4 linked regions of the Struthio camelus genome follow. The protein of the gene in region 4 purifies or fractionates together with the protein of the main gene of each other region. This does not show direct contact. Links are inferred from orthologs where the notes say so. Each region holds a gene or a part of one and is shown on either strand. Other genes may lie near its edges.

What was found.
Region 1: the proteins of EZH1 (region 4) and JARID2 purify together in Homo sapiens (affinity purification with mass spectrometry; 4 studies listed by BioGRID and IntAct, with this or other methods). This does not show direct contact. The link is inferred for Struthio camelus from reciprocal best matches to the Homo sapiens genes EZH1 and JARID2.
Region 2: the proteins of EZH1 (region 4) and MTF2 purify together in Homo sapiens (affinity purification with mass spectrometry; 3 studies listed by BioGRID and IntAct, with this or other methods). This does not show direct contact. The link is inferred for Struthio camelus from reciprocal best matches to the Homo sapiens genes EZH1 and MTF2.
Region 3: the proteins of EZH1 (region 4) and PHF19 purify together in Homo sapiens (affinity purification with mass spectrometry; 4 studies listed by BioGRID and IntAct, counting the BioPlex papers as one, with this or other methods). This does not show direct contact. The link is inferred for Struthio camelus from reciprocal best matches to the Homo sapiens genes EZH1 and PHF19.

Annotation. Positions count from the first base shown.
Region 1 is NC_090943.1:98,478,870-98,486,397, forward strand, and holds the start of JARID2 (protein Jumonji), read left to right. Parts: upstream 1-4,526; 5' UTR 4,527-4,541; coding exon 4,542-4,625; intron 4,626-7,528.
Region 2 is NC_090949.1:18,605,101-18,613,014, forward strand, and holds the start of MTF2 (metal-response element-binding transcription factor 2), read right to left. Parts: upstream 3,006-7,914; 5' UTR 2,737-3,005; coding exon 2,732-2,736; intron 1-2,731. UniProt on the Homo sapiens protein: Polycomb group (PcG) protein that specifically binds histone H3 trimethylated at 'Lys-36' (H3K36me3) and recruits the PRC2 complex, thus enhancing PRC2 H3K27me3 methylation activity.
Region 3 is NC_090961.1:3,054,814-3,062,187, forward strand, and holds the start of PHF19 (PHD finger protein 19), read left to right. Parts: upstream 1-4,374; 5' UTR 4,375-4,418; coding exon 4,419-4,434; intron 4,435-6,059; exon of another isoform or gene 6,060-6,110; intron 6,111-7,305; coding exon 7,306-7,374.
Region 4 is NC_090966.1:7,813,009-7,820,189, reverse strand, and holds the start of EZH1 (histone-lysine N-methyltransferase EZH1), read left to right. Parts: upstream 1-4,168; 5' UTR 4,169-4,234; coding exon 4,235-4,245; intron 4,246-5,179; exon of another isoform or gene 5,180-5,198; intron 5,199-5,436; exon of another isoform or gene 5,437-5,571; intron 5,572-6,095; coding exon 6,096-6,216; intron 6,217-6,809; coding exon 6,810-6,938; intron 6,939-7,181. Other genes in the region: RAMP2 (receptor activity-modifying protein 2), read right to left, coding at 1-40, 428-584, 788-900.

The sequences.
Region 1 (7,528 bases), on a different chromosome or scaffold from region 4:
TTAACTTGATCTCAAGTAGCATTACCACAAAAACTTGATGTTGAATGAGGCTGAACAGAGACCATTTTCCCCAGCTTAACTTATAGAATAAGACTAGAGAGGAAGAAAAAGAATAGTAAAATAACTAGTAATGAGCATGGAAAAGTGAGGGGAAAACTAAGAAAATATGAAATAACTTGCTTTCTTTTTTTTTCATTTAGTGTTTTAAATGTCATTTGTGTCCCATTTCTAGGGTGAGTGAGCACAGTGTTCTCTCTTATACGTGTTTTAAGGCAGGAAGGACGGTCTTGTGTTTGAAGCAGAAGACTAGGAGTCAGGCAACTGAGGTTCCCCTGGGGACTCTTGGATCTCTTGCTCTCCTGCACAGCAGCCCTTCAACAGCCTTACACAAAAGTTTTTGCGTCCACAGAGCGGAGGTAATACCTTACAGAACTGATATGAACACTAGCTGCATTTGGAATACACGGTAAAGTCTCTGAAGTGTTACATAAGCGTAGATGTTAATATAGACGTACATCGCCTGGTACAGGCTGAGCTGTATGGAAAGCACAAGCAGCCACTGACTTCAGTAAAAGTCTTCCTGATACATCACCAGGGGAAAATCAATTATTCTCCCTCCTCCCTAACCCTAAAACAGATGCGACTCCCCCCTTCCAGAATTGTTGCCTTTACTTTGAAGGTCCGAGTTTCATTTTGCAGCCGGTTCCCTGCTTTCTTTACCGGGAAAGTCGCGTACTTGAATTTTACAGGTTTTTGCTTTAAAACTGCATTTCCAAGTCACATTACCATCCATCCACTTTTAACACCGAAGTCAGCTGGGTGCCCGACAGGACATAAAACACCCCCGTCAGCACCAGGGCTCCCGCAGACGAGAGCAGCCTGCGGCGATCAGCCCAGCCTGCACAGCAAGCTGCGCACGGGCAGCGGGTGCCGGCCAGCCACCCCGCAGGAGCCGCGGGACGCCGCAGCCGCCACCGCAGGCTCCTCTCCGCAGCCGCACCAGGCAATTCAAACCTCGCAGCGAGGCCGCTCCCGGCCCGGCCCTACCGCTGCAGCCGAGCAGCCCGGGCCCCTCCGAGCAAGGCGGGCAGCCGCGGGGCTGCGAGGCGCCGCGCAGGGCCGACGAGTGACCTCAGGACACCTCCGAGGCACACCGAGCAAATCTCACGCCAGCCGGGGCAGCCTGTCCTGAGCTGACACCGCCCGCCACGCCGAGCAGCCGGCTCCTAAGACCCGTCACCGGCGGGCCTCGTCGTCTGCGGCCGCGATTCAGATAAATTAAGTTTCGTGCTGCACCTCCCTAACCTAACCCAGACGCATTAATCCTCGCACTCTCCCAACAGTCCCCCACGGCGCCTGCCTGCCTCCTTCCCCCCCCACACCCCCCATTCCCTTTCTGCAAATCCCCAATAAACTTCCCTCTCTCCTCCTCCTCCTCGGCCGCCCCCTCCCCCGGGAGGCGGGTGGGGCCCGCCTCGCCGCCACCTCCGCCGCCGCCCAACCGCCCCTCGCGCGCCCCCTCCCTCCGTCCCCCCCCCGCCGCCTCCACCACCGCGCGGCGCGGGGGGGGTGAGGAGGGGCAGGCCAACGGGAGGAAGGCGGGGGGGGGAGAAGGAGGAGAAGGGAAGGACGAGCGTCGCGAAGGGGGTTCCGCGCGGAGCAGCCAATGGGCGGCGGGCAAGGGGGGGCGCCGCGCGCGGCACGCCGGGAGGTGTAGTTCCCCGCCGTCGCCATTTTGTGGCGAGGGAACTACAACTTTCCCGCGAGCAAGGACAATTCTCGGGCCCTGCGCGGAGCCCCGCCGGCGAGGCCAGGTGCTGCCAGCGCGGCGGGCCCCGGTGCATGCCAGAGCAGGGGGACGTGAGGCGGGGCAGGGCAGGGCAGGGCAGGGCCGGGGCGGAAGGAGAGACCTTGGCAGACAGGAGGAGTGAGGCTGCTGCGGGGCGGGGAGGGGAGGGGGGCAGGGCAGGGCGGCCGAGCGTGCTGTGCGTTGAGGGACCGTCGCCAAATTCCCCGCTCGGGCTGTGCTGCAGGGGGGCAGCGGCGACCTTGGCCGCCGAGTGGCCGCACTTAAAAACCTTAAAAAAAAAAAAAAAGAAAGAAAAAAGAAGACGAGGGGGGAAGAAGGAAAAAAGAAAGGAAAAAAAAAAAAAAGGAAGGCGTGTGACGCTTAACCTGCATGAAGTGTAAGCGAGGCCTGTTGCATGCGTTGAATGCAGCGAGGCCGGGTGTTGCGGCTGCTGTCCCGGTTGGGAGTTAAGGCCAAGCCCTATCTGGGGTGTGTGTATGTATGTGTGTGTGTGTGTGTGTGTATATATATATGTATATACATACACACACACACACGGGCGCGCGCGCACACACACATACACACACACACATACATATATATTAAAAAAAAATCAGGTCCATTTAAAGTTGCTGCCGGAGAGCTGTTCTCATTGGTTAGGGGGAGCTGGAGGAGCAGAGACACACACAGTGCGTGCAGCCCTCGCTGCTGCTGCTGGGGCTGCTGCTGTTGCTGCTGCTGCTGCTGCTGGGGCTGCTGCTGCTGCTGCTGCTGCGAGTTGTCTCTGCTGCTTTCCCTGCTGCAGCAGCACAAACGTGACTTCCAACATTTTTATTTATCTTCTCCTTTCAACCCCGTTCCTTTTCCAAGATGTAACTACAGCTCTGACACTAAGGACCTGCAGATCGCTTAGGTGGCTTGAGCAAGAGAAAAGGGGATATCAAGGGCGTCGTTTTTTGTGTTTAGGGGGAAATTTTCCATTACAATGTTTCACTAAAGTGATTTTTTTTTTTGCTTCCTTCGCATTCGTCTCTTCTTCTTCTTCTTTTTTTTTTTTCATCCCCCATATCTCGGATTTATTGCTAGGAGAATCACATTGTGAGGAAAGAAAGTCGGATTACAAGATACCACTACAAACAACCCCCTCCCCCCAGGATTTTTCGGTATTTTTTTTTTAAATTGTCGCGGCTTTAATTCATGAAGCAATTGTCCCCTTTTGCAATCAGAATTTGGATACCAGAATGAGCAAAGAAAGACCCAAGAGGAATATAATTCAAAAGAAATACGTAAGTGGTCATAACATATATCATTTGACTCCCAGTTTTAGGAAATGGCAGTGAATGTCAAGTTTATAGCTAATCCTGCAGCTCTAAGGCTTTTAAAACAAATGTAATGCTGAATTTTATTTTTCTGTGGTGTGGTGGGGGAGTTTCATAGGCCCCTTTTAATGGGAAAACCTTCTATGCAGTTTGGTTATAAAACCAGATTTGTGTAGCGATACCTCCAGTGAATAAATGTATTGACCTCAAATGACACAATCATAATCTAGTTTTAGATGAAAGGCAGGGAGCTCGGGGGGCTGCTGTGATAATGTAACGAAACTGCATTTTCAAGCGGTTTTATTAATATTGCGCTTTGCATGCAAAAGAACATATTTGACGATATGCGTGTGTATATATTCCTGCCTGGTGAAGCCACTGTGGTTGTTGAAAGCCCTTTAAGTTGAAATCGAGTGTCTGGTTATGGCGAGCTTGTTTCTTGCACTACCACATCAAATCTAATGTATGTGATCGTTTGCTTATCTGGCTCGCAATAGAAAGCAAACCAGTTGGGGATCGTGTTGCAGGGAATGCGTTTGTTGGGATTGCCTTTAATAATGGGAAAATGGCTCGGTGTAGTTTAAAAATTCATTATGATGGCTTGAAAATTTGGGAGAATACAGTGCAGCCCGGGCTGTATTTCTGTCTCTCTTTATTCAACCGCTTAACCAATCCCTCGTAATTGTCTAATCCTTTAAACATATAAATGTGCATGGATAGTTGGATTTTTGTTCGTGCTCCAGTTACGTTTTGATTGGCATAGGGGAGTTTTTCTTTACGTTTGGAAAAACTGAGGGGATTAGCCAAATATGCAGTAGAGCGAATAATGATTTTTATCTGCATGTTTAAAAAATTCTTCATTTTGTGGAGAGAAAAAAAAGGAGTTGCTTTAGGGTGTGTGTGATGCGACACTTAAAAAGTTGTAGTTTATATGGTACGTATCATTTGTGCTATTTTTTTCTGCGGGGGGGGGGGATATGTGTGTTTCTTTGAAGGGAGGGTGACCTTCGGGACACTTTACCTTGTTATTATATAGATTTCATAAAAACTGCAGTTGACTTCAGATGACTGTTTCTATCGATTTTCGACCCATTAAAATGTAATTTAGAGGGACGTGAGATTAAACAATAATTAAAAACTTCAGCCTATTCTCCGCCGAATTTTCGAATTAAAATATATCCGCATTGCAGAGGAATTGGGAGTCTGAAGCTGACTAGTTTAAAGTATTGCATCCAAACAGGAACATTGTGTAGAAAGTCTAGCGAAACATGTAAGACGTCCACGTTTCCCAGGCAGTGAAACAAAGCAGAATGGGGGGGGGGGAGGGAGGAAGGAGGAAATTGTGATGTTAATAATTAAAAGGAACAGGGTGGGGGTAAACACCCCCAAACCTGTTATTTCTAAAACCTTTCGCAGGTTTGTGGGAGCGAACAATGCAGCGTTACTCTGGCTACACTCATAGCGCTGGGCAGAGAATTAGTAAAACTACTGTCAGCCCCTCAAGCCCCACGGGGGAGGTATGAGGTACACATGTGAGCATGCTAGGGGAGACAATGTATCTTGTGTTACAAGTTTTAACTTGGCGGCGGCAAATCGCTTTTTTCCCTTTTTTTTTTTTTGCGCCTCTTTTTCCTTTTTTTTTTTCTCTTTTTCCCTTCCTCCTCCTCCTCTCTTTTTGGAAGGGGGAAAGAGAGCGAGCGCGGGGAGGGGAAGGCGGGGGGAGAGTGCGGGGGCGAGCGGGCTGCCGTGCGCCTCGGCGGGGGCGCGGGGGGCGGCGCGCGGCGGGGCGCGCTGGCGGCGGCGGCGGCGGCGGCAGCAACAGGTTACGCGGGATGTCAGCGCGAGCCGCGGGCTCCCGGCCACGCCGCCCGGCCGGGGCCAGGTTCGCCTCGCTCCCGTGACGTCACAAAGGGAAGGGCCTGCGCGCCGTGGAATCTTCGTCGCCTCGGCGCTCCGGGGCCCCCCCCCCTCTTCCTCCTCCTCCTCCTCCTCCTCCTCCTCCTCCTCTCCCGCCCCCGGCGTGACGTCAGAGCCGAGGCGGGCCGCGGCGGTTGGGGCGGGGGGAGGCCCCGGGGCGGCGGGGGCCGAGGCCGGCCTGGCCCCGCACCAGGTGAGCAGGTGCCGGGCTCCGCTGCCCTGCCCCGGCCCAACCCGGCCCGGCTCGGCCGAGGGGCGCCCTGGTGACCGTGGGCCGCCCGGTTTGGGGGCGCCCTCCCTGCGGCGAAGGTCTCTGAGGTCCTTGGGCCCCGCTTCCCCCCCCCACCCCCCGCCGCCTCCTCCCCCCCCCCCCCCCGGTGGCGGTGCGCGGCTTGGCAGCGCCGTGGGGCGCTGCGGGGCGAGCGGCGCCCCCGCGGGTGGCGGCAGCCCCCGGGATGCTGGCGGGGTAATGACATGGCATGACACCTTTCTTTTTCCTGTGACCTTTTGAGCGGTGCAGCATCATAGCAGAGCATGCTGGGCAACGGCTTCCTCCTAGCAAATGCCAGGCAGGTCTTTTGTCTGCCTGCTCGGGCTGCAGGTGCGAGCGAGCGCGTGCGCACCCACAACTTTGGGCAGCTGTCACCTGGCCCCAGCCTTCGCAAAGGTGACTTGCGCCGGTGGCTGCACGCGTAACCCGCCCTCCCCAGTTAGTCTTTCCTCTTTTTGCCTCTTCACCAGTAATGTCCTTCGGCTTCGCGTTGAGGCGCAGTTGTTGATCACACACAAAAGTGCGTCCTGGGTCTTTGGGTGACTCACAAGTTGGGAGTCCGCGCTCAACGCTTCAGTAGATCTGGAGATGTTGTCGTTTTAGGTGACCTGGAAAATTTGCCACTTGAAGTTCACAGTCGCTGAGGAAAGGCAGTCCCTCTGTATTTTACTGTCATGAGTAATCTTATGATCTCTTTGTATGGAAGAGCTGGCTGCTAGGAATTCCTGTGGAGCTGCTGTACGGGAGCAGAACAATGGTCCACCTAGTGTCATATACTGCCTGTGTGGCTGGCTGAATGTGATGCTTTATGGTAAACAAAGGTCTGAAGTAAGAAGGTATGACAGTCGTGCTAGTGAGTAATACCTTGTCATAAGTAGCAAGACGATGAGCAAACCCACTCAACTAAACAAAAACAAAGTACAGGCTTGGTGGTGTGCCACAGAGCTGAGATCCTCACATCACTGCCGACTGTCATATTGCAACTGGCGTCTGTTTAGACCATTACTTTTCATTTACAAAATGAATTCTGAAAACAAAAAGGCAGTGAGAACAATGGAGTAAAACCTACGTGTTGTAAGCTGCTTGCTGCTTCCGTACAGCTTGACTTGCTGCTTTGTAAATAATGGTAATTAAAAGTTCCTTTAAACTTTGAATGTATTATCTTTGCAACTGTTAACCCAGGAATGAGGAAATCCGTGTATATATGTCTTTTTTTTCCCTGCTCTTTAAAAATGATATCACTTAATTTTTAAAAGAACTATGGCTGACTCATACAAATCTTTCTTCTCACTTTACCCTCCTCCTTCTCAAACATCTTTACATATCAAATATTGCCTTTTGGCTCAAGCCTCAGAAAACTGACAGCTTTGTAAAGCATCAGCCGAGAAGCCAGACTGCATTCGGTATGCGCTTGGAATTAATAGTTCTTAAATAAAAACCTTTGAAGTCTTAAGCATAATTTCACAGGTGCATTTTTCTGCCCGTTTTTGTGATGTCAAATAGCAAATCTTCTGTTCTTTCTGGTTTAGGTCTTGAAGTAACAGACCTGGATTACTGTCTTAAAATACTTGCATAGTTCTGCCACGGTAGCAGATGGCAAAATATAATTAAGTAATAATGTCACTACTGTCTCCTTGTGTGATTTGTTTCGTTGTCCTTGCAGAGGTAAAAGTGCTGTAGTCTGCCATAAGGTGACACGCTTCACCTAAAGACAGCCGCGTAAGCCCCTCAAACAGGGTCAACGGGGCCTGTAGAGAATTAGTGTATTGCAGACATCTGAGGAGAGCTCCTCTCAGTGCTGCCGGTTTTTTAAACAACACTTTGTGCTTGGGGGCGTATTTATAGCACGATCTGAAAGAGCGCTACATATGTTTAAGTAATACGTGTATAAATTGTGTTACAGCAAAATCCTCAATATCTCTGTGAGAGGAGCAGGCACGAAATTGCCTCGCTTATCAGATCGGGTTCTTGAAACCCGGCTGCTGCGGGATGCCGCCAGGCTGCAGGTGGGTAGGTGGGTGATGGTGGCCTGTGGGGCTCCCGGCGCCTTCCCCAGCGCTGTGGGGTGGGGGGCTGCCCGGGGCAGGGGGCAGGTGGTGGTTTAGGGCTGGCGCGGTGGTAGGGCAGCGCCACCTCCTGAGGGACGGACGTTTTGTGTGCAGGGGCACAGCAGACTCGGGGTGGGTGCCTCCGTCCCCCCAGGGCTTCAGCCCCTCCATGTGGGGTTTCCTC
Region 2 (7,914 bases), on a different chromosome or scaffold from region 4:
AAGTGTTTTTTTTTTTTTCTTTTGCACATCAAATAGAATTAAAACAGTCTTTAACAAATAATTACATAACAATGTATTACCCTATGTATTGTAGCATGTAGGGAAATAGGGCAAGGTAGTACTTTATTGTAATAGCCATTTGTAGAATGACTTGGGATTGATCATGTGTTTATACACAAAGAAGAGGAAGTAGGTAGTATCAAGGAGAGACTAAGGGTATGGTATGCCGATGCAACACACCTCGCTTTTAATCAGATCTTTCCTTAAACGTATACTTAGCATCTCCTTTAACCCAGCTATTGACTTTCTGGTTTCCACAGTATCCAAATACAGCGTGCCCAGCAACATACCTAAAAGAGTACAGTATGAGCGTGCGTCCAAGCAGTAAATGAGATCACAGAGCACATTCTGACTTGCACTGGGGAGAGAGGAGAGAAGGGGAAAAATTCCACAAGCAGTCAAAAACCATGAGGACATATTTCCTCCTTTAAGGCCATTCTACAGGAACAGCGACCTTTACAAACGCTCCAGTGAAAGAAATACATAGAAATTGATTTATTTTTTAAAAGGATGAAGTGTTATTGTCCTCTGAAATATTTAGTGAATGAAGTGTGTCCAGGTTCATCAGGAATGCTGTCATCATGAATTCCCCTTCTCTTAAAGAAAGGGAAAGTCAAGCTTTTCAATTTCCCTGCTTAACAGAGTTCCCATCTTCTAGGAAAAGCCTGTCAGATTGAAATCGGGATCCTTCAACAAGTTAATTCAACTAGTTTCAGTACTTTCAGCGACAAGTATCACCCTGCCCAGGGACCCATCAGCAATACCCATCGTTTTACCATTCTTCTCCTGGTTTGTTTTACTCAAAGACACACTTCCCCTCCATTTCCTGCAAGGAAGGCCTGTAAAGAAGGTGAAACCAACTCTGCAGCAAGCTCAGAGGTCAGTCATGCAAAAAGTGCTGTCAACTCACAAACTAAGAGAAGAGAAAGATTTATACTGGCTTTCACTTACAGATGTTTTTCCCCTCCAAACTTTCTCTTCCACAACTAACATTAGAAGTATAAAACACACTTTACAGCAATTTATGATGCTTCTAGTACTAGCTTCATCCTCATCTATCTCCAGGTTATATGGAAGGCCACCCTTTACCAGCCCATTCCTAGCAAATGCACTGCAACTTATTTGTTACAGCTGTTCTCATACACTCTGCCTGATCTCCTAATGCATGGAAGAACAAACGTAACTGTATCTGAGGCTAGTCTTGATATTGACTGGGAGTGCAACCTTCAACTGTTTTTAAGTTATATATCTAAGCAATTGGTAAACAAACATATTAAGCCAACTTTTCAGACAACTGACATCAAATTCAGCATTCTTCACCGAGCAGAGATAAGAACTTGTTGAGAAGTCACATAACTATTTTCCCAGATAAAGATAACTGTGGAAAGCATTACTACATTTTACTCTCTAAGTTTAGATGCACATCTCACTAGCTTGTGGCTCCCCACAAAGATCCTTCTAACTCTTTCACTACTTTATTACGTCCCTTCTTTCATATTCTTAGTCTTTGTGCCCCCTTAGTCTCTTTTCACTGAAAGTGAAAAAAATTAAACATATTAACCTGTATTCTAATATTACAACACCTATTCTCCTCTCAGCCTCAAAGGCTTTCCAATTAACTGCAATTTGAGCTCTCCAAGGAGGGACAAACATCAGCTTATTAGCTTTTTACCAACCTGACTATAAACCACAAAAATCAGTGAAGCCATTTTTTCATTATTCTGTGCTTGACAGTTTCGGTATAAGGTATGAATGACCTACACCGTAGGTCAGAAGAAGATCATGCTATTATCCATTACTATGTATTACCTAATGTCCTGAACAGAGCCAAACCATCAGAAATTCAAGAAATAAGCATAAGGTTACACTGCATTCCTGGCAGGCCCTTTCCTTTTAATAGCACCCAAATGCTTCTGAGGTGGATGACAATCCCTAATATTCCAACACTCGATATCAGTGTCCAGACTGTCTCACACAGTAGCATATTGTTCCCACTAACAAAAGTACCAACCCAGTTTTTCCACAAAATTCAAGCATCACAGATAAGAAAATATGTTGTTGCACATCCTTTCAGCCAGCAACAGTTCCCACATTTCGGTAGACTAAAACCGCAAGTTTTCAGCACATTTGAATCGCGCTAGTTTGACAGAGACTAAAAGAAGAGGCATCACAGAAGAAAAAGCAAAGTTACCAGCAGCCACCACCACCTCTTTTGTGTTGCTCTTTTACACTTGAGCAAATGCAGCCCATTCGGCCAAAGTCCTTAAGCAAGACACACAAAAAACCCAGCTGGGGTAAACCCAGCGGCAACCGCCCGGCTGCAACACCCCCGAGGCCCCCGTTACAAGGTCTCCTGCCTTCGCTCCCTTTGTTTTGGTCACGGAGGAGCACCACCGGCCCCTCGCTCGCCTGCCACCGGCCGCCGCAGAGGCAGCTCCCGCCCCCTCTCCCCCCGCCCCGGCCTCCGGGGCCCCCGCGCAGGAGCGGGGCCCCTCGCACCCCTCCCCGCCGGCGGCCCGACCCCCGTGCCGGCGGCAGGATGCGGCCCGGGGGGCCGCAGCTGAGGGGCGCCCCCCTGCCCCGCACCTCCCCCGCCCCGCGCGGGGCCCGGCGACGCCGCCCCCCACGCCCTCCCCCCCGCCGCGGGGCCCGCCCGCCCCCCGCACCCCACCTCATTCGGTCTCTCCGGTGGTGCCAACCGCCTCATACAGGGAAATCAGCCAGCTCAGGAGCCCTCCCCCCGGCGCCCCGGCGCGGCCGGGCCCTCGGTGCGCAGCGGGACCCCCCCGAGCACGGACCCCGCGGCGAGGCGAGGGGACGGCGGCGGGGGAGGGGTCAGACCCGCTTCACAGACAGCCCGGCTCCACCGCAGCCCCTCGCCATTTTTGTTTCCCGCGGAGGAGAAGCTGGTGCATTGTGGGAGCACAAAGAGCCGCGGCCCCGCCCCGGCCGGGCCCCGCCTGCGCCGACAGGCAGCTCCCCGGCCAGGGGGCGGGGCGGCAGCCGCGCTGCGGCGGAAGGACACAGGTGAAGCCGAACCTTGCCCGCTGGTGAACAAAGAGGGACTACTTTAGGCGTGCTCGCTAAAGGGGGGGGAATATCCCTGCCCGCGGCCGGGACTCGTTACGGCAGCGCAGAGGGGTGCGCGCCGCCCCGCCAGCCTCCGCCTATTGTTCCCTCGTCGCACCTGTGGCGAGGCGGCGAGGTGCCGGCGGCGCGGCGCGGCGCAGTCCCGCGGGGACCCGCGCAGCCTGCCTGCCCGCCCGCACCGCTCTACCTGCCCCCGCCGCCCACCTGGGCTGCGGGCCGTGAGGCGGGAGCCGGCCCGTCCCCTCGGCGCCCCGCCGCGGCGGGGTCGGCCCGCGCGTCTAGAATGATCCAGGGAGGGCGGGAAGGGCCCTGGCCGGCCGGGGCAGCCGGCGTCGCGCCCCAGAGGGCAGCCAGGCGCCCGCGGTGTCCTCCCCGGCCCAGGTAGCAGGGGCTGCTCGGGGGGGGGGCCTGCTCACACCAAGGGCGTGAGGGTAGACAGTCTGAAGGAGAAGCTCCTCTGCAGTCGCAGTCTTCGAGATAACTGCCATTTTAGGAGCTGAGCTAAAGTTTAGTTTCTCTTTCTAGCAGCAGCTGTGTTAGCGAACTGGAATAGGCTTTTCAGTTTTCATCATCACCAGCAGCTTGTTTTTATGAAGAGTTCCTTAGGCTTAGCGCAGCCTCAGCAGCAGCTCTGATTAAATGCAGCAGTTGTACAGTGACACACAATAGAAAGTTTGCCCCAGTCCCATAGGGGCAGTTCCTTGGCACAGTTCAGACCTCTAAGCAGTAGTGGAAATGCAAGTATTTACTAGATGGGATCTCGCACGGGCAGTCTGGCCTGTTCACTCTGCCTTAACGTGTTGGCTGAGCTTCCACAGAAAGATCAGCCATTGGAAACGACACTGGATCTGTTTGCAGACCCTCTCTGACTCCCTTTGGCCCCCTGACGTCTCCAGGGGTGCAGTACAGTAGCTTGCCAGCCTCCCTGGGTCAGTGGTCCCCAGGAGGGTAATCCCTGGGTGCGCATGGTCCTGAGGACAGCAGGACGTGGAGGCAGCTTGTCACCCAAAAGAGGACCAAAGAGAGTGATGTTTAAAGCAGATGAGTCTGAAAGAGCTGTCATTTTTACACCTTAATCTGGCCGACTCTGAGGGGTGTCAAAGTAAAACAGTAAAACCTGAATCTCTTCATGATGGCAATTGTTTAAAATACAGGTTTTAGGGAATAATTCCCTAAAATTCCCTTTGGATGTACTAACTAGCCACTGCTCGGCCCATGATCATGATGGCCTCTAGATCTGTGAAGAACAGGCTTGCACAGCACAATTGCCATGGCCTGCTCTTCACGTATTTTGAGATACTGCTAGCAGCAGTTAGGTACCACTAGTACTAAAGGCAAGGGGTCACCGGCGTGAGAAAAAAAGTTGCACTTACTCAAGCTGAGAAAAACACACGTGCAAGTATTTAACTTTTAGTTATACTGATAATAGTAGGTGAGAACCAGTGTTAAACCAGTTAAAAAGTAAGATTTTTTTTTATCAGCCATAGGATGAACATGACTAAACATCAATAATTGGCTCCCTCACAACTTACTTTTTTACAGTCCCCCTTGGAGGGTCTTACCAACCTGTTTCTGCTGTCTTTTTGAAATTGCTTAAATCAGAACTTCTCAGAGTGCGATCTCCCGGTGTAAATTGTTTAGCTCGCCACCAGCACCCCCTTAAAAAAAAATAAAAAACCTCCTTGATCAGAAAGACACATGTAGCTCTACCCTCCTTTTCCTTGGAATATTGTTCCCTGAAACCGTTTTCATAACTAGCATAAAGGCACAGAGCTGCATGGCCACACCCTAAACATAAAACACCACTTGTCACAGAGCTAGGAGTTGCTGCTGGAATAGCATTACCTTTATCTGAGGGCAGCGCTAAAAGAAACTAAGAATCCCCACAGTAAATAAGGATGATTAAAGTTTGATACACTGATTAGTTTTCTATTAGGGGGATTGAACTAGTTAGTCCAGAACTTTGCTCCCAAAGCTTGTTACTATTAGCTTTATTACTATAAACAACAGACCATATCAATATTATCCCCACAAATTTGATTCCATATAATATTTTTCTCTCAGAATTTCTGTGAAGCACAGTATGGGCTCCCAGCCAAATCCTAAATAAAGCCATGTTAACCTCTCTTTCCTTTTAAGGTCGGCTCTTACTGATAGCTGGAAAAATTCCAACCTATGCACCTCACACAGACACCCCCTCTTCCATCACAGTAATTTAGTAACTAGTTTTTACACAGTTTAGCAGGTCACTGAATCACCATCCTACAGGAAGCTCCTTTCTAGAGCCATCACCATGCAAGTCTTATTCACCTGATGCGTTTACTAGACCAAGTAAATCAAATGTTTGAGAAATACCTAAACATAGATGACTAAATTCAGCTACTTCTACTCTTGGAGAGTAAATATGCACTGGAACAGTCACTTTTATAGTTCTTTTGCCCAACCTGATGAGGTAATTACAGGGTTGGGAATCTTATTGCAAATGTGCAAATGATTCTTTTATAAATGGTTTTCAAATTGAAATGCTTAAATCAGCAAATGCTGAAACCTATAGTTGCAGCAGAAAGGATCCTGATTATCACTGGCATATGTGGGGCAAAGAAGGAACAGCAAAAGTAAAAGTCAGCCTACTTTAGACACTCTATACAATTCCAATTATCGAGAGACATGTATCATTAACCTGATTTTGAGCAAACTAGAATCTTCGTCTGCTTTCTGCTCAGCACTAGTAGTAAAGCAACTAGTTATTTCTTCTGTTAAGATCCAATAAGACTATATATGATGACTTTAGAATGGACTTTCCTGTTTTGTTTTCTTTTTTGCCTTTTGATAATGCCTTGAAAGTATTTGCACATACAGTTTAAGCACTCTCTGCTATTGTGTTTTCAATTCCAGACGTATTACATATATACTTTTTGTCACAGCATGGCCAAGGCCAAATTAAATTACTTCTCCTCAAATGTCGGTAAGAGCTCTCTTGTGTAGGAGTTCCAGGAAAAAAAAAAGACTTTGATTATAAGGTTCTGCATAATAATAAATACGTTCAGCTTTCTTCCACCTCCTTTCACAAATAGCTCTGTTTTCAAAGGGGGTTAAAGAATACTGACCTGACACGTCTCTCCCTTAGTGTTTATTTTTGTCCACATATTGTTTGGTACATTTTTGCCACAAAGATGAATAATAGCAAAGTCTTTACTTTTTGAAATTGTATCTTGCCTTGCTGGCACAAGAGAGACAATTTAAATTTCATGTTCAAAATGTAAATTTTCTGTAACCAGTAAAGCTGGATAAATTTAAATAATGTTTAAATACAGACTCAGAAATAGTGGCATGTCCCTTAGCCAACAGCCCTTCTCTCAAATGTTAGTATATCGTTTTAAAGCAGGTGTTATGTTTATACACTTTCTTAGCAAGAATTCTATAAACAAATAATAAAAGTAAGCAAATCAAAACAGAAAACCCATACACTTAAGTCAACAGTGTATGTAGATGAGAGCACCAACTGCTGTAGAGTATTATTTTCCATTGCCTTATTGTATCACCCAATGTAACGTCAAAATGATAACCTCGAACAAGACAATACTGTAAAGCTTATCCTTGTACAGATGGTTGTCATGACCACAATTCAGTAAGGAGGGAAAATTAGATCCCAGGCCACTTTCTCAGTATTGTTTGAGCATGGGAACAGCAAGGAAGCTCACCTGAGATCTTCCTATGTTCAATCAAGTTGAATATGGTACATCTACTTTTACGTAAACATAATAATTAGTGAGACAGTGCACTTATGCTGTATTTATTATTCTAGGACTCAGAAAAGGATCTTCAATTTCAAAATATAAAAAATAGGTGAGTGCTGTTATAAGATATGAAGAAATTAGTATTAATTGCCTTATAACCAGATAACAATTGTTATCATAAAATTGCAGTAATTATTCTCGCTCTATCCTAAGGATATAAAAATATTTGTGAAAACAGAACAAAATAGATATCTTAAAATATTTTTCTAGATAGGTAAGATTTTGCATTCTTGTATATCAACATTACAGAAGAAAATACATTAGTGCTACTGGATGCTGACCACATTGCCATTGGTCTTCACAGAGAAACATTTTTTTTTCTAGTAAAAGCACTTTATATACTTAAGATGCTTGAAAAAATGCTTAAAAGAAGCTGAAGCTTAAAGCTTCCCTAATACCTGATTCACTCTAGAATTTTATTCCAGACATATAACCTTTCTGAAATTACCTGTAAAAATTTAGCTGAGATTCTTTATTACTAAGTGGTCTTTGATATGTAAATATCTACAGATATCTGCAGGTTCACAATTCAAAACACTTACAAGCTTTTAAATGCTTACATAATTCTAATATAAGGCCTTAATTATTCCTAATTTACAGTTCATACCCCTCCATGGCTGAAATCTCTCTGTTTCCTGGAAATGGTTGAATAAGAAGCAATCTGTCAGTTCACAGTATACAGTGTAAGAAAACTTTAAAGAGACTGAGAGAGTCTGCGACTGAAATAATAAGAGTTTGAGGTGCAGTGTTTCTATGTTGTATTTAACAACATCTTTGCATTTGCTTCATAAAGAGGGGGAAGGGCTTTTGTTGTGAGAAGTATGTCAACGAAGAAAATTAAGGGGCAGGAAAGCAATTTTCTGGCATGTATCTTGGTTATACTGACGCTCTTTTTGTACCGAAAGACAGTGAGCGAGGTCCAAAGGACAGAAAACTAAATGCTTGGATAGGTTTGGCCTTGCCGAGG
Region 3 (7,374 bases), on a different chromosome or scaffold from region 4:
GGTGTCAAAATTATGTAACGGCCACATTAATACAAACCTTGCACAGCTGCGGGACCGCTTACAAGCTCTTCATGTCTTACGCAATTGCACAGAAGCACGCAAAGAAAGTTAGGTTGAAAAAGAAATGGATGTGGATTAAATTCATATTAAACAAACAGCAAAAAGACATGAAATCCAATGCCTGAACGCTCTTCCTTTTAAAGGCACAGCTGGCATAAAGCAGATGAGCGTCGGATTTAACTACCCCAGCTGTGACCGCAACCATACCTCCGCTCCGGGGCGCCCTCGGGGGCATGGCCGTGCTCGGAGCGCTGCCCCGGCCCGCGGCGGTGCCACGCCGCCGCCGCCGCCGCCGCCGGAGCCCCCTCGCCGCCCGCCGCGCTGAAATCGCAGCGACAGCAAGGTTTGACTAATCCAGCGAGCGACTTCTGCTGCGGAAAGTAACATCTGCAATGAATTTTGCTTCCTCGGGGCCAAATCGAACGGTGCAGAAACGTCGAGGAGAGTCCTAGAGCGCTAAACCGGGGCTGTTTGCTCCACGGTTAATGGCTAGGTGAGCAGAGAATAACGGCGCTTATGTAGCTGGGACGGTCTAAATAAATAACCATGGAAAGGTCAGTGGGGAAAGATCATCCAGCTTTTCCTGAATCAGCTTAACCCGGCTGAAAAAACCCAGAGAAGGCATGAGGCTTCTAAACCCTTGTTCAGCAGAGGAAAAACTATGGTGGAAACGGCGGTAGCGAGCCGCTCTGCAAGGTGCGGGAGTGAGCCGAGCCGCGGGCTGGCCATCGGCGCAGCCCGCCGGAGCCACCGCTGCACGGGAGCCACCGCCGCGCCAGAGCCACCGCTGCACGGGAGCCACCACCGTGCCAGAGCCACCGCCGCGCCGGAGCCACCGCTGTGCCAGAGCCACCGCTGCACGGGAGCCACCGCCACGCCGGAGCCACCGCTGCACCGGAGCCACCACTGTGCCAGAGCCACTGCCGCGCCGGAGCCACCACCGTGCCAGAGCCATCGCTGCACGGGAGCCACCGCCGCGCCGGAGCCACCGCTGCACGGGAGCCACCGCTGCACGGGAGCCACTGCTGCATCGGAGCCACCGCTGCACGGGAGCCACCGCTGCACCGGAGCCACCACCGTGCCAGAGCCACTGCTGCACCAGAGCCACCGCCATGCCGGAGCCACCGCTGCGCCGGAGCCACCGCTGCACGGGAGCCACCGCCACACCAGAGCCACTGCTGCGCCAGAGCCACCACTGCACCGGAGCCACCGCTGCACCGGAGCCACCGCTGCGCCGGAGCCACTACTGCACCGGAGCCACTGCTGTGCCAGAGCCACCGCTGCGCCGGAGCCACCGCTGCACGGGAGCCACCGCCGTGGGGCTGCCGGGGCAGCGGGGCCGGCGCCGGCTCAGCCCTCGCAGCGCCTGGAGCCGGGCAGCATCTCCTGCAGCTCCGGAGGGCGCCGGGGCCGCCCAGGGCTCCTTCTAGCTGGGGAGGCCGAAGGCGCCCCAGAGCCCCGGGCGCGCGCGGCCTGGGGCGTCCCCGCCGGCCCGAGCCGGACCCGGCGCCGCAGCGCCGAGCGAGCGCGGGAGCCATGAGTAAGTTGCTTTTGGTCCGGACTAGCGCAGGGAAACGCCGCAGAGCCAGCGGCCGTCTCTGTCCACCAGGCGAACGATGGTGCAAGAGTTATTTTAGTCCTGCTGTGACTCACATATCATGACTCACCGCAAATTTTGGCCGTTTGAGTGTTTTGAAGATGCGTCAGGTTCCCCGTGAACCCGGAGGACGAGTGTTTCATGCCGAGGGAATGAGCGGCGTTCTGCACCCCCCAGCCCGCCGGGCAAACCTCTGCCCGCGACCTGCGCCCGGCGCGCCTGCCCCGGCGCTGCGTGCTCTCGGGGTGGGCCTGCTCGGGCGCCCGCTCCCGGCAGGCGGGCAGCAGGATGCGGCCCCTGGGTGCGGCTGGCACGGCACGACACACGTAACACGGCAGGGCATGGCTGGGTCCAGCACGGCACAGCACAGCACACACGGCATGGCACGGCACGCACAGCACGGCACGGCACGGCACGGCACGGCACGGCACAGCACGGCACACGTAACACGGCAGGGCATGGCTGGGCCCAGCACAGCATGGCACAATACACACAGCACGGCACGGCACAGCACGGCACGGCATGGCACGGCACGGCACAGCACACAACACGGCACGGCAGGGCACGGCACAGCACAGTATGGCACAGCATACATAACAGCACAGAACAGCATGGCACGGCAGGGCACAGCACAGCATGGCACGGCATACATAATGCGGCAGGGCATGGCACAGCATAGCATTGTACGGCATGGCACAGCACAGCACAGCACAGCACGGCACGGCATGGCACGGCACAGCAGGGCATGGCAGGGAACAGCACAGCACAGCACGGCATGGCATGGCAGGGCACAGCACAGCAGGGCAGGGAACAGCACGGAATAGCACGGCAGGGCACGCCACGGCACGGCACGGCAGGGCACGGCACAGCAGGAAACAGCATGGCATGGCAGGGAACAGCACGGCATGGAACGGCACAGCACGGCACAGCACGGCACAGCATGGCATGGCAGGGCACAGCACAGCATGGCACGGCAGGTCATGGCACAGCACGGCAGGGCACAGCTCGGCACAGCACGGCACGGCACGGCACAGCATGGCACGGCAGGTCATGGCACAGCACGGCACGGCATGACACAGCATGGCACGGCAGGGCACAGCACAGCAGGGCATGGCACAGCACGGCACAGCATGGCACGGCAGGTCATGGCACAGCACAGCACGGCACAGCACGGCACAGCACGGCACAGCATGGCACAGCACAGCATGGCACAGCACGGCACAGCACGGCACAGCATGGCATGGCAGGGCACAGCACAGCATGGCACGGCAGGTCATGGCACAGCACGGCACAGCATGGCACAGCACAGCACGGCACAGCACGGCACAGCATGGCACAGCATGGCACAGCACAGCATGGCACAGCACGGCACAGCATGACATGGCAGGGCACAGCACAGCATGGCACGGCAGGTCATGGCACAGCACGGCAGGGCACAGCACGGCACAGCACGGCACAGCATGGCACAGCACAGCACGGCAGGGCACAGCACAGCAGGGCATGGCACAGCATGGCACAGCACGGCACAGCACGGCACGGCACGGCACAGCATGGCACAGCACAGCACGGCACAGCACGGCACAGCACGGCACGGCAGGTCATGGCACAGCACGGCACAGCACGGCACGGCACAGCATGGCACAGCACAGCACGGCATGGCACAGCACGGCACGGCAGGGCACAGCACAGCATGGCACAGCACGGCACGGCAGGGCACAGCACGGCACAGCACAGCCTGGGGGCTTTAGCTTCATACACAGAGAGAAACGAGAAGCAAGGGAGAAAAACAGCCTTCGTGCCCCCGGCTCCGGGAAGCCCTGTTCCTCGCGCTCGGGCGAGCGGCGGGAAACGATCAGCGTTTCGGCAAGCCGAGCGCCCTCGGTCACTCCGCGCCTGCTCGCCAGGCTGCCAGGGCAGCGGACGGACGGCTTGCTGACGGCGTCCCCGGGCCCTCAGCAGGGCAGGAGCGCGGCAGCTGCCCACGGCTTGCAAAACGGGACGCCGGGTTTCAGGTGGTGCGTGGCGGCGTCCGCGCGCCCTGCTCACGCGCCGCATCTCGGAGCCGGGAGCTTTCACACCCGCTGCCTTTCACGTGTGATTGACCGCTGAGAGCCTTGCGCTTCGTCTCGCCCCCTTCTTCGATACCGCTCTCTGCCAGGATATTTTGTGGCCTGCGATGCTGCTGGCAGGATATTTAGTTTTGAGACAGCGTAGCTTTGCTGTTTTACTTTTGGAAAGTAGTTGTTAGCGTGTCCGAAACGATCCGTAACGTGCAAAAGGCTGCAGGGAGCCGCGCGCAGCGCCGCCGCCGGCCCCGGGGGCGGCTGCCGGGGAGAGCCGCAGCCTGCGGGGCCGCTGCGGTGACACAAAGGGATTCGGAGACGGCAGAATCATACAGAAACATGTAAAAGGCATTTTTACCCCTGCGCCATTCATTTTTAACGCTCGCTGGCAGCGCCCGCTCTTTCACAGGTGAGCTAGGGAGCAGCCGGTCCGGGGGCCGAGGCGGCACGGTCCTGCCGCCGGGCTCATCGACCACAGCCGATAAAGCGCCGACAGACCGCGAGCGCGCCCGGCGCCGGCCCGCCACCGGCAGTCAGCCGGCCCGCCGGCTGAGCAGGCCTGCAAACATTTCTGTTTTGGCAGCGCTTTCGAACAAATAGCAAATCCTTCAGACTTCTCCTTGGCACTGAGCAGAGCATTTTTGCAGTGATTGATTCTCTCTGTTGAGATTCAGAGAAAAATCCCCCCGTTTCTAGGAATGCCGAGGAGCACAGGTTGTTCCCGCGCGCGGCGCAGCATGGCTCGGCCTGGCACGGCGCGGCACGGCACGGCGCGGTGCAGCACGGCTCGGCCTGGCATGGCGCGGCACGGCCTGGTGCAGCACGGCTCGGCACGGTGCAGCACGGCTCGGCGCAGTGCAGCACGGCTCGGCATGGCACGGCACGGCACGGTGCAACACGGCTCGGTGCGGTGCAGCACAGCTCGGCATGGCACAGCACGGCATGGCACAGTGCAGCACGGCACGGCGCGGTGCAGCACGGCACGGTGCAGCACGGCATGGCGTGGTGCAGCACGGCTTGGCATGGCACGGCATGGCACGGCGCGGTGCAGCACAGCCCGGCATGGCACAGCACGGCACGGCGCAGCATGGCACGGTGCAGCACGGCTCAGCATGGCGCGGTGCAGCACGGCTCAGCACGGCACGGCATGGCGCGGTGCAGCACGGTGTAGCACAGCACAGCGCGGTGCAGCACGGCATGGCATGGCGCGGTGCAGCACGGTGTAGCACAGCACGGTGCAGCACGGCATGGCATGGCGCGGTGCAGCACGGTGTAGCACAGCACGGTGCAGCACGGCATGGCATGGCGCGGTGCAGCACGGCTCAGCATGGCACAGCACGGCACGGTGCGGTGCAGCACGGCTCGGCATGGCACGGCTCGGCACGGCTCGGCACGGCACGGCGCAGTGCAGCACGGTGCAGCACGGCACGGCGCGGCACAGCGGGTCGCCCCGGCCCCGGGAGCCCCCAGCGACGCCACTTGCTGCCCGCGCGGGAGCCGGGGTGCCGCATGCCAGGGCCCTGCCAGCCGCGGGGGGTGCGGGGCCCTCGCAGGTGCCCCGGAGCGGAGCGTACCCCGGGGGGCAGCTGTGGGTACCCCACGGGGGACGGTTGCAGACACCCTGCGCGGGGCAGCTGGTGGGGTGACCCGCAGGGGGGATGGTTGCAAATACCCCACGCGGGGCAGTCTTTGGGATGACGCCCGGGGGGCCCATTGCAGACACCCCACGCGGGGCAGTCTTGGGGACAACCCCCAGGGGAGGCGGTTGCAGACACCCCACGCGGGGCAGTCTTGGGGACAACCCCCAGGGGAGGCGGTTGCAGACACCCCACGCGGGGCAGTCTTGGGGACAACCCGCAGGGGAGGCGGTTGCAGACACCCCACGCGGGGCAGTTTTGGGGACGACCCCCAGGGGGGGCAGTTGCAGACACCCCACGAGGGCAGTTTGCAGGTGCCCCACGCGGGGCGGTTTGCAGATACCGTGCATGGGGCAGTTTGCAGACACCCCACGCGCGGGCTGGGGGGGGGGAGGCAGCTGCCGGGGCCCCACGCGGGGCAGCCGCAGATCCCGCCCGCCCCCAGCTACCATGCGTGCGAGCGCGAGTGTGTGTGTGAGCGCGCGCGGGCCGGGCCGAGCCGGGTGCAGCACACCGAGCGGCGCGGGGCGGCGGCGGCCGGGGGCGGCGCGGGGCGGCCGGGGGCGGCGGCGGCGCTCGCTGCCCGAGCGGGACGGGGGCGGCCCGGGAAGCGCGGGAAGATGGCGCCCCGCGCCCTGCCCCCGCCGCGCCGCGGCCCCGGCGGCCCCCGGGCGGGCGGGCCCTGACCCGGCCCGGCGCGGCGGCGGCGGCGGCGGCGGCGGCGGCGCGGGGAGAGCGCGGCGGCGGCGGGCGGTAAGGGGCGGCGGCGGCGGCGGCGGCGGCGGCGGGGCGGGGGCGGCCGCTGCCCGCGCTTCCCGCGGAGCCGCAGCCCGCCGGGGCGGCGCGGGGCGGCGCGCGGTTCCCGGGACGGCGCCGCGGCGGCGCCTTTGAATGAGCCAATGGCGGCGGCGGCGGCGGCGCTGCCCCGGGGCGGCCGCCCGGCAGGTGCCGCCGGCGCCGGGCACTGCCCGAAAGCACCGGAGCGCGGTGCCGTGTGCGCCGGGCCGAACCGAACCGGGCCGGGCCAGGCTGAGCCGAACCGAACCGGGCCGGGCTGAGCCGAACCGAGCCGAACCGGGCCGGGCTGAGCCGAGCCGAACCGGGCCGGGCCGAACCGAGCCGAGCCGAGCCGAACCGGGCCGGCGGCGATGCCCCGCGGCGCCCTGCGCGCCGCCGCCGCCTGCCCCGCCGGAGGCGCCCGCGGCGTGCGCCGAGCCCGCCTGGGCGGCCGCAGGCTCTGCCGGCGCCGGGAGAAGCGTTGGCCGAGGCGCGGCTGGCCGAGCCGCTCCCGCCAGCTCCGCTGAGCATCCCCCCCTTCCCCCCCCCTTCTTTCTTTTTTCCCCCTTTTTTTGTTTTGCCTGCCGGCCTGGTGCGCGGTCCGTTTAACGGGTGGGCTTCTTAAAAGCGGCCAGGTCATCCCCGGGGAAGGTGAAGGTTGTTAATCGCGCGCTCCGGCCGCAGGCAGCTCGTCCTGCTCGAGACGCCGTGCGGTCCCGTGTTGCGATGCGTGGCATGAAGTCGTGCGTGTCGCCATCAGAGGGACGCTCCTCGGCGGGGGGGAAAGTAACTTTTGGGTTGTTCTGTCGCGTTTGCCGGCGGTCCCGAGGCGAGCTGCGGCCGGGGCGCTGTCGAGGGAGGGCGGTTTGTTTGCCTCTCGCGCTTCAAGCCTTTGCGGCAGCGAAACTCGGCTGCTCCGTTTCACGCGCTGTTTGGAGCGCTCCCGCTTCCCTGCCCCGACGGGGCTCTCGTGCCCTTCGGGGAAATTGCATGGAAATTATGCATGAAATTTAACATCAGATTTAAAGCTCTGGACCCCCAAGCACGCAGCCTGCGCGGCGCCCGGTGGGCAGCTCGGGCGAACAACGGGCTCGTTACACCCCGGCCGAACCCCGCGGGACGCAGGGCAGCGGCGGTGGCGGCGGGTGACGAGCGCGTGCTCCCCTCCCAGGGCTGCCGAGGCTCATGGAGAGCAGCAAGCTGAACCCCATCATCCGGGATGTCTACGCGGCTGCCAGCC
Region 4 (7,181 bases):
CCGAAGCCCTCCGCCTGGGCGCCGGCGCGGCCCAGCCCGGCTGCGCGGGGTGCGAACGCGCTCAGGCGGGGCCGGGCGGCGACGCCAGGCCGGCGCCCCTCCGCCCGCCCGTCCCGGGGCCGCCCAGGGCCGGAGCCGCGGCGGCGGCAGGAAAAGGAAGCGCTGACCGCAGCCTGGCACGGCCGGAGCGCCCGCCCGGCCGCGGCGCCCGGCCTCCCCCACCGCGCCCCAGGGTCCTGAGCCGAGGCGGCGGCGGCGAGGGGCGCCGGCAGGGAGGGCCGCGCGCCGGGACCCCCCGCGCCGCCCCGGCGAGGCCGGCGGCCCGCGGCCCCCACCCGGCCCCCGGAGCGGCCGCCCGGCCCGGCGGCGTGCGGAGGCCGCCCGGCGCGAGGCGGCGGCGCGGGGCCGCCCGGCCGCCCGCACTTACCCCACAGCAGCAGCAGCAGGAGCCGGCGGCGGAGCCGGCCGGAGCCCGTCGGCGCGCGCGGTGCCATCCTGCAAAAGGCTGCCGGCTAACGACCGGGACAAGTATTTCAATGGAAATAACAGGAAGCAACTCCTTTCCTCTGACAGGGGCAGTTTGACTACAGGAGACGTGTGAAAAATGAGATTGCTCAGCGCTGCTTTAAAGCAGATCTCCCGGCGGGACCCCGTCGGCGTGGCCGCGCGCGGCCCCGCCGCCGCCCCGGGCCCCCGGCGGGCATCGCTGCCGCCCCACCGGCCGGGGCGCGCGGCCGGCGCCCGGGGCGGGAGAGGCTCCCGCTTCGCCGGGCCGCTGTTTGTTTACTTGTGTATTTCTCCGTAATCCCGTCTGGGCTGGGTTGTGAAATCCCTCGTCTCCCGCGCGGAGGGCAGGCAGCCCGGCGGCCGGGCGGGGGGAGCGGACCGGGGGAGCGTCATGTCCCCGGCCGGGCCCGGCCGCGGGTCGCGCGGGGGCGGACGGAGGCCCCGGGCGCGCGGCCCCGCCGGGCACCTGCCCCGCGGCCGGGCCGGGCCGGCGGCAGGTGGGGAGGGAGCGGAGCCACCGCGGCCGCGTGTCCCCGGCCCGCCGCCCCCCGCGCGCCGCCGCCGCCAGGCGCTCGCCCCAGGAGCCCGCTGAGACCCGGCGCGCTCACGGCGCTCCCGGGCCGGGCCGGCGCTTGCAGCCCCACGTTTCCCCTCTGAAAGCCGGCCGGCGGGACTCACGGAGCGCAAACCGCGGGGCCGCGGCTGGCGGCTGGCGGGGACCCTCCCTGCGCGGCGCTCCCGCCGCCCGCCGCCCGGCCGGGGCGGCCCAGCGGCTGCGGGACCCGGCGGCACCTCCGGCCGGAGCGCGGCCGCATCTGGCGCGCACCACGGGCCGGGGCCCCCGGATCCCGCTCCCCGTGGCCGCAGCGGCTGCAGCCGGCCTCCGGCCCGCCGGCGGGAGCCCTTGCCAGGGAGACACCCAGTGATGTCAGCCCGGCCCCGGGGCCCCGGCGGCCGGCCGGTCGCGCCCTCCGCCGGGGCCGGGGCTGGGGCCGGGGCTGGGGCACGGCCCGACCCCGCCAGCCCCACCTCACCCGCTGCCCCCTCCGTCCCCCTCCAGGCCCTTCCCGGAGCCGGCCCGGAGGAGGCTCGTGTTCTGCTCGGCGCGGGGAGGCGCCGGGCCGCTGCCCGGCCGGTTCTGCACCGCTTTGCCGGCTCCGCTGAGCGTGAGGGCCACCGCCAGCGGGACCAGGCAGCCGAGCCCGGCGGCCAGCGCCGCGGCCAGCCCCGGGGGCAGCCCGCCCGGCCCCGGGCGCCCGGCCCCGGCGCAGCCGCTGAAATACTCGGCGTGGATCTGCAGGAAGAAGGCCTCCAGCGTGGGGCTGGGCCAGGGGCAGGCCAGCACCTCCGCCAGCAGCTCCGTGCAGTTGGAGAGCTCGCTGTAGATGCTGCGGGGAGAGGGGAGAAGACGCTGGCGAGCCGGGCGGCCTCGGGGCTCCACCGCGGTCCGGCCTCAAGCACGCGCTCACCACGGCGAGCGCCCAGCCCTTCTCCGCGTGCCGCGCCGGCGAGCCAGGCGTGCAGCCGCTGCCATGCGCCGGCAGCGTGCAACCCAGCACCACGTGCACGCTCTGGCTGGAGAGCTGAGCGCCGTGCATGCTCCGGCCAGAGAGCCCAGCGCCGTGCACGCTCTGGCTGGAGAGCTGAGCACCGTGCACGCTCCGGCCAGAGAGCCCAGCGCCGTGCACGCTCCAGCCGGAGAGCCCAGCGCCGTGCACGCTCCGGCCGGAGAGCCCAGCACCGTGCACGCTCCAGCCGGAGAGCCCAGCGCCGTGCACACTCCAGCCGGAGAGCCCAGCGCCGTGCACACTCCAGCCGGAGAGCCCAGCGCCGTGCACGCTCCGGCCGGAGAGCCCAGGGCTGCACACATTCTGGCCAGAGAGCTCAGCGCCGCGCTCGCTGTGCCGGCAGTGGGGTCGGACCGACCTGCCGATGTGCTCCCAGCGGCAGCGGCTGCCCTCGGGGGTGGCCGTGAGGGCGGCGTGGAAGGGGGCCCAGCAGTACAGGGAGATCCAGTCCCGGTAGGTGTCCTGGCAGCGGGCTGGCCCGTCCAGCACCTCCAGCGGTCCTGCGGGGAGGCGGCGCGTGAGCCCCCGGCCGCGCTGCACCGCGCTGCGCCGCGCCAGGCTCGGGCACCTCCACTCACCGTCCTCGTCCAGATAGAGGTAGTGACCTGGGAGGAGAGACGGCGCCGTCCCGTCAGCGCCGCGGGACCCCGCGCCGGGCAGGGCCGCGTCTCCTGCCGGGGCAGACGGGCTGGTCCCGCCGAGGGGGCCGCGACGCTGCCGGGGCCCGGCGCCATCCCCGCACGGCGCTGCCGCGGCCTCACCTTCGTCCGGCAGGTCCGCGTCCGCCGGCTGCCCGCGCCCTGCGGGAGGGAGAGGCGGGCGCGAGGGCTGCAGAGCGGCCGGGGGGCTCGGGGAGGCGGCGGCGCGGCTGCCCCTACCCCGCCGGAGCAGGGGGAGCAGGAGGCAGCAGAGGAGCTGCGCCCGCGCCCCGAGGCGCATCCTCCCGCCGCCGGGGCCGCCGCGGGCGGTCGGGCCGGGCCGGGCCGGCAGCGGCCCCTCGGGATATATCCGCGTGCCCAGGGCCGGTGCCAGCCCTTTCCAGGCGCTCCGGAGCCAATGGCTGGGAAGGTCGGGGAGGGAGCAGCCGGTTTGGCCTGACTCAGCAGGCGACGCCGGCAAAGGCATCAGATAAGGGGTCGAGCGAGACGCGGGGGCTGCGGGTGGCGTGGGAGCGAGCTGCGCTGCCGGGACCGGCCTCGGCCCGGCCCCGGGGCCTCCGGCACGGCGCTGCCGCCGCGGCCCGCCGCGCTCCCGGCTCGGGGCCGCCCGCAGCCGCTTCCTGCCCGGCGCCGCGGCAGGGCCGCAGGAAGCCCAGGGCCGCCCACGCCGCCTCTCCGGGCCGAGATCCCGCTCCTGCCCTGGTGGGTGGGGAGCCCCACGCGGGTCCCGCACCCCGGTGGGGTTCCAGGGCCCACGGGCCCACAGGCGCCCGCGTCCCCCGGGATCCCCTCCGCCGGCAGGCGATGGTCCCGCCCGGCTGAGAGCCACCGGCCGCCGCGGCCGCGGGGCCCATGGGCCCTGGGTCCCCACTGGGGTGCGTGACCCGCGTGGGCTCCCCACCCACCAGGTAGACTCGTGTCCAGGCCCCCACCCGCCTGGGGCAGCTGACCACATGGGAAGACCCGTGTCCGGGCCTCCACCCAGCTGGGGCACCCCAGCCAATGGGGGGACCCATGTCCAGACCTCCCACTGTGTGGGGCACCCCACCCACCGCAGAGACCCATGTCCAGGCCCCCACCCGCCCGTGGCACCCCACCCAACGGGGGGTCCCCTCCCACGTGGGACCCGCCTGACCGCAACCCCGGCTGCGGCCCAGCCCCGCGCGGGACCCGCTCCGCCCCCCGCCCGCCCCAGTGGTACAGCCCGCCCTCCCCACGCGCGGGACCCCCTCCGCCCCCCGCCCGCCCCAGTGGTACAGCCCGCCCTCCCCACGCGAGGGACCCCCTCCGCCCCCCGCCCGCCCCAGTGGTACAGCCCGCCCCGCGGCACAGGCTCCGCCCCCCGCCCCGCTCGGCCCCCGCTCGGCCCGGCGCGGGGGCGTGGCCAGGCTCGGGGGCGTGGCCAGGCGCGGCGCGGGGGCGTGGCCGGGCTCGGGCCCGGGGTGGCGGCGCAGGCGCAGGCGCGGCGGCGCCCCCTCCCCCTCCCCCCCGCCCGGCGCGATGGCTGAGGAGTGAGTGCGGGGCGGGGGCGGGGCCTGGGGGGCCCGGGCGGCGCGGGGGGCCCGGGCCCAGGGCGCGCGGCGGGGCCGGGCCGGGGGCGGCGGGAGCCCCCGCGGGGCCCGGGGCCCGGAGGGGCCCCAGACAGGGTGGCCCGGGGGGCGGGGGCGGCTCCTCCCCCACCCCCACCGGGGGGTGGCGACCCTCCGTATCGCGGGTCCCTGCCCTGGCGACAGCCCCACGCGGGGGCCTCGGGGGCGCCCGTGGGGCGGATGGGGCCTCCCGTGGGGCAGATATGGCTTCGGTGATGCGGATGAGGCCTCCTGTGGGGCGGTTAGGGCCTCCCGTGGGGCAGATTTGGGCCCCCGTGAGGTGGATGGGGGCCCCATGGGGCAGATGTGACACCCGTGGGGCAGATGTGGCGCCCATGGGGCGGATGGGGCCTCCCGTGGGGCAGATAGGGCACCCGTGGGGTGGTTGGGGCCTCCCGTGGGGCAGATTTGGGCTCCCCTGGGGCAGATATGGTGCCTGTGGGGTGGATGGGGCCTCCCGTGGGGCAGATTTGGGTCCCCGTGAGGTGGATGTGGCGCCCGTGGGGTGGTTGAGGCCTCCCGTGGGGCAGATTTGGGCCCCCGAGGGGCAGATGTGGCACCCGTGGGGCAGATATGGTGCCTGTGGGGTGGATGGGGCCTCCTGTGGGGCAGATTTGGGCCCCCGTGGGGCGGTTGGGGCCCACGGGTAATTTGGGCCCCCATGGGGCAGACGGGCCCCCCGAGGGGCAGCGTGCGGCTCCTGGCTGCGCTGCCCGGCGTGTGTCAGCAGCCCCTTCCCGGCGCCTCGAGCCCCCCGCAGCAGGAGCAGGATTCTGCTCCCTGCGTACTTCCCGACTGGGAATACTCCCCGGCGCCGCTAAGCCTTCGCATTAAACCACCCCTTGACGATCTTCTTGCGTGGCCTGGCTCGCTCCGTAGGTGGTTTTTAACACCATCACCCCCAGGAGATGTGTGCTGGCATGAAGATTGCTGTATCGATTTTTTTTTATTATTATTTTAACATTTGAATGGCAGAAAGTCTTGTAAAAACATTTGAATGCTGTGGAAATGCAGCTTTGAGAACAGTCCGTAGGAAATCAGGGAGTTAATTTTTAGGGATGAATCATTGCAAAAGCAGAGGTTGGAGAAATCTACTCGAGTGTCTCCGAGTCTGAGCCGTCCGGTGGCTGTGTGGCTGCGTCAGGATGGAGTCTGCTCGACCTGCTTGGGAATCGGCCGTTCAGACAGAGCTATACGGATCTGCATGAATGATTACTGTGTGTGCGAAAGGCTGAAGCAATGAAACGCGTAGGAGTGTAACACGTTTCAGAGGCTAATATGACTCTTGGGGAAAATCGTGTTTCTCTGCAGAGTTCTATTGTACAGTACATTTCTGAGAAGAAGGACTAGAAAATAGAAACAAAAAACCTTCCTGGCTTCCTGTCACTGTGAGAAAGTGCTAGCTTGCTGTAGCCAGACTAGTGATGTCGTTATTTGTTTTGTTGGTGCCCTGGGCAAATGGAAAAAGGGGAACACCCAGAACGCTTTGTCCGTAGGGGATTCATAGGGATTCAGACTGGACATAAGCAGCTGAATCCCTGTAAGCATGCTTAGTTCAGTGCATCTTCTTATGTCCAAAGCTCTCCAGGCTTTTCAGTGCAATTTATTGTAATTATTCCTTAAATAGGACTAGTGCAGATTTATATAGTTATTTTTTCCTGGGTATAGTCTATGATGCATTTAAAATGCACATGGATTTCTTTTAATAGCCCTCGTTTATAAGTTTAAGATCTCCTTTATTTGATATTTATCCTTTTTGTATTTTTTTGTAGAAAAATGGAAATCGCCACTCCTCCAACATCAAAGTGTATTATATACTGGAAAAGAAAAGTCAAGTCTGAATATATGCGTCTTCGACAACTCAAGAGGTTTCAGGCAAATATGGGAGCTAAGGTAAAGACATTATGAGGATGGTTCTAGCTGAAAGGATATCTCCTAAATATTTCACATTAGTTTATAGTCCTAGAGCAGTTATCAGATGAGTGATTCATCCTGCTAATTGCAAAGTTATATTAGTTGTAAATTTGAAGAGATATTACTTTTCCTCATGCTCCATTAGTAGAGCAGTGTGGTCAGTGTCCAATATATAGGTACAACAGTTTACCAGCCAAGTACTTGCACAACTGCAGTAAGAAGACTAATTTCAACTTGTTTTTAGAAATATCCCTTTGCTCTAAACCTTTCAGTGCAAAGGGACTGGTAGGTTTCAGGTGGCTTCTTTGCCTTTCTTGTTGGCAGGTAGGTTTTTAGAAAAGGTCAGCTGTGGCCAGGAGTTATCAAAAGACTGTTGACTGTTCAGTAGATTTACAGTGATGTTTTATACCACTGCTGAATTCAATTAGAATTCCTTCTAATAGGTACCATCAATTGAAATGCTGTGCTGAGCGCGTAGTTTGATATTTGAAACAAAATCTCAGGAAGAATTTTAGTATTTTAAACCTTAACAAGATTTTTAAAAATTTGAGTGCATCTTTCTCCCATTTTAGGCTCTGTTTGTGGCCAATTTTGCGAAGGTTCATGAAAAAACTCAAATTCTGAATGAAGACTGGAAGAAGCTTCGAGTTCAACCGGTGCAGTTAATGAAGCCGGTCAGTGGACACCCTTTCCTAAAGCAGGTACGGAGAAGAGAGCAAAAGTGGCACAGCAGCAACAAATGCTGGTTAGAATCACGGCTTTGCAGGGGACTGTGAAGATACTTAATCTTTTTGTTTTGTCCTGCCATATGTCAGTATCAGAGCATGCCTAGTATTCTTCCATGATGCAAAAACAGGCAAAAACAAAAAGGGTTTTCATGTCAAGGAATCAGCATGAGTGAACGCAGGGCTTAGCTGTATTTGTCCTGTAGTGTGATTTCCTCC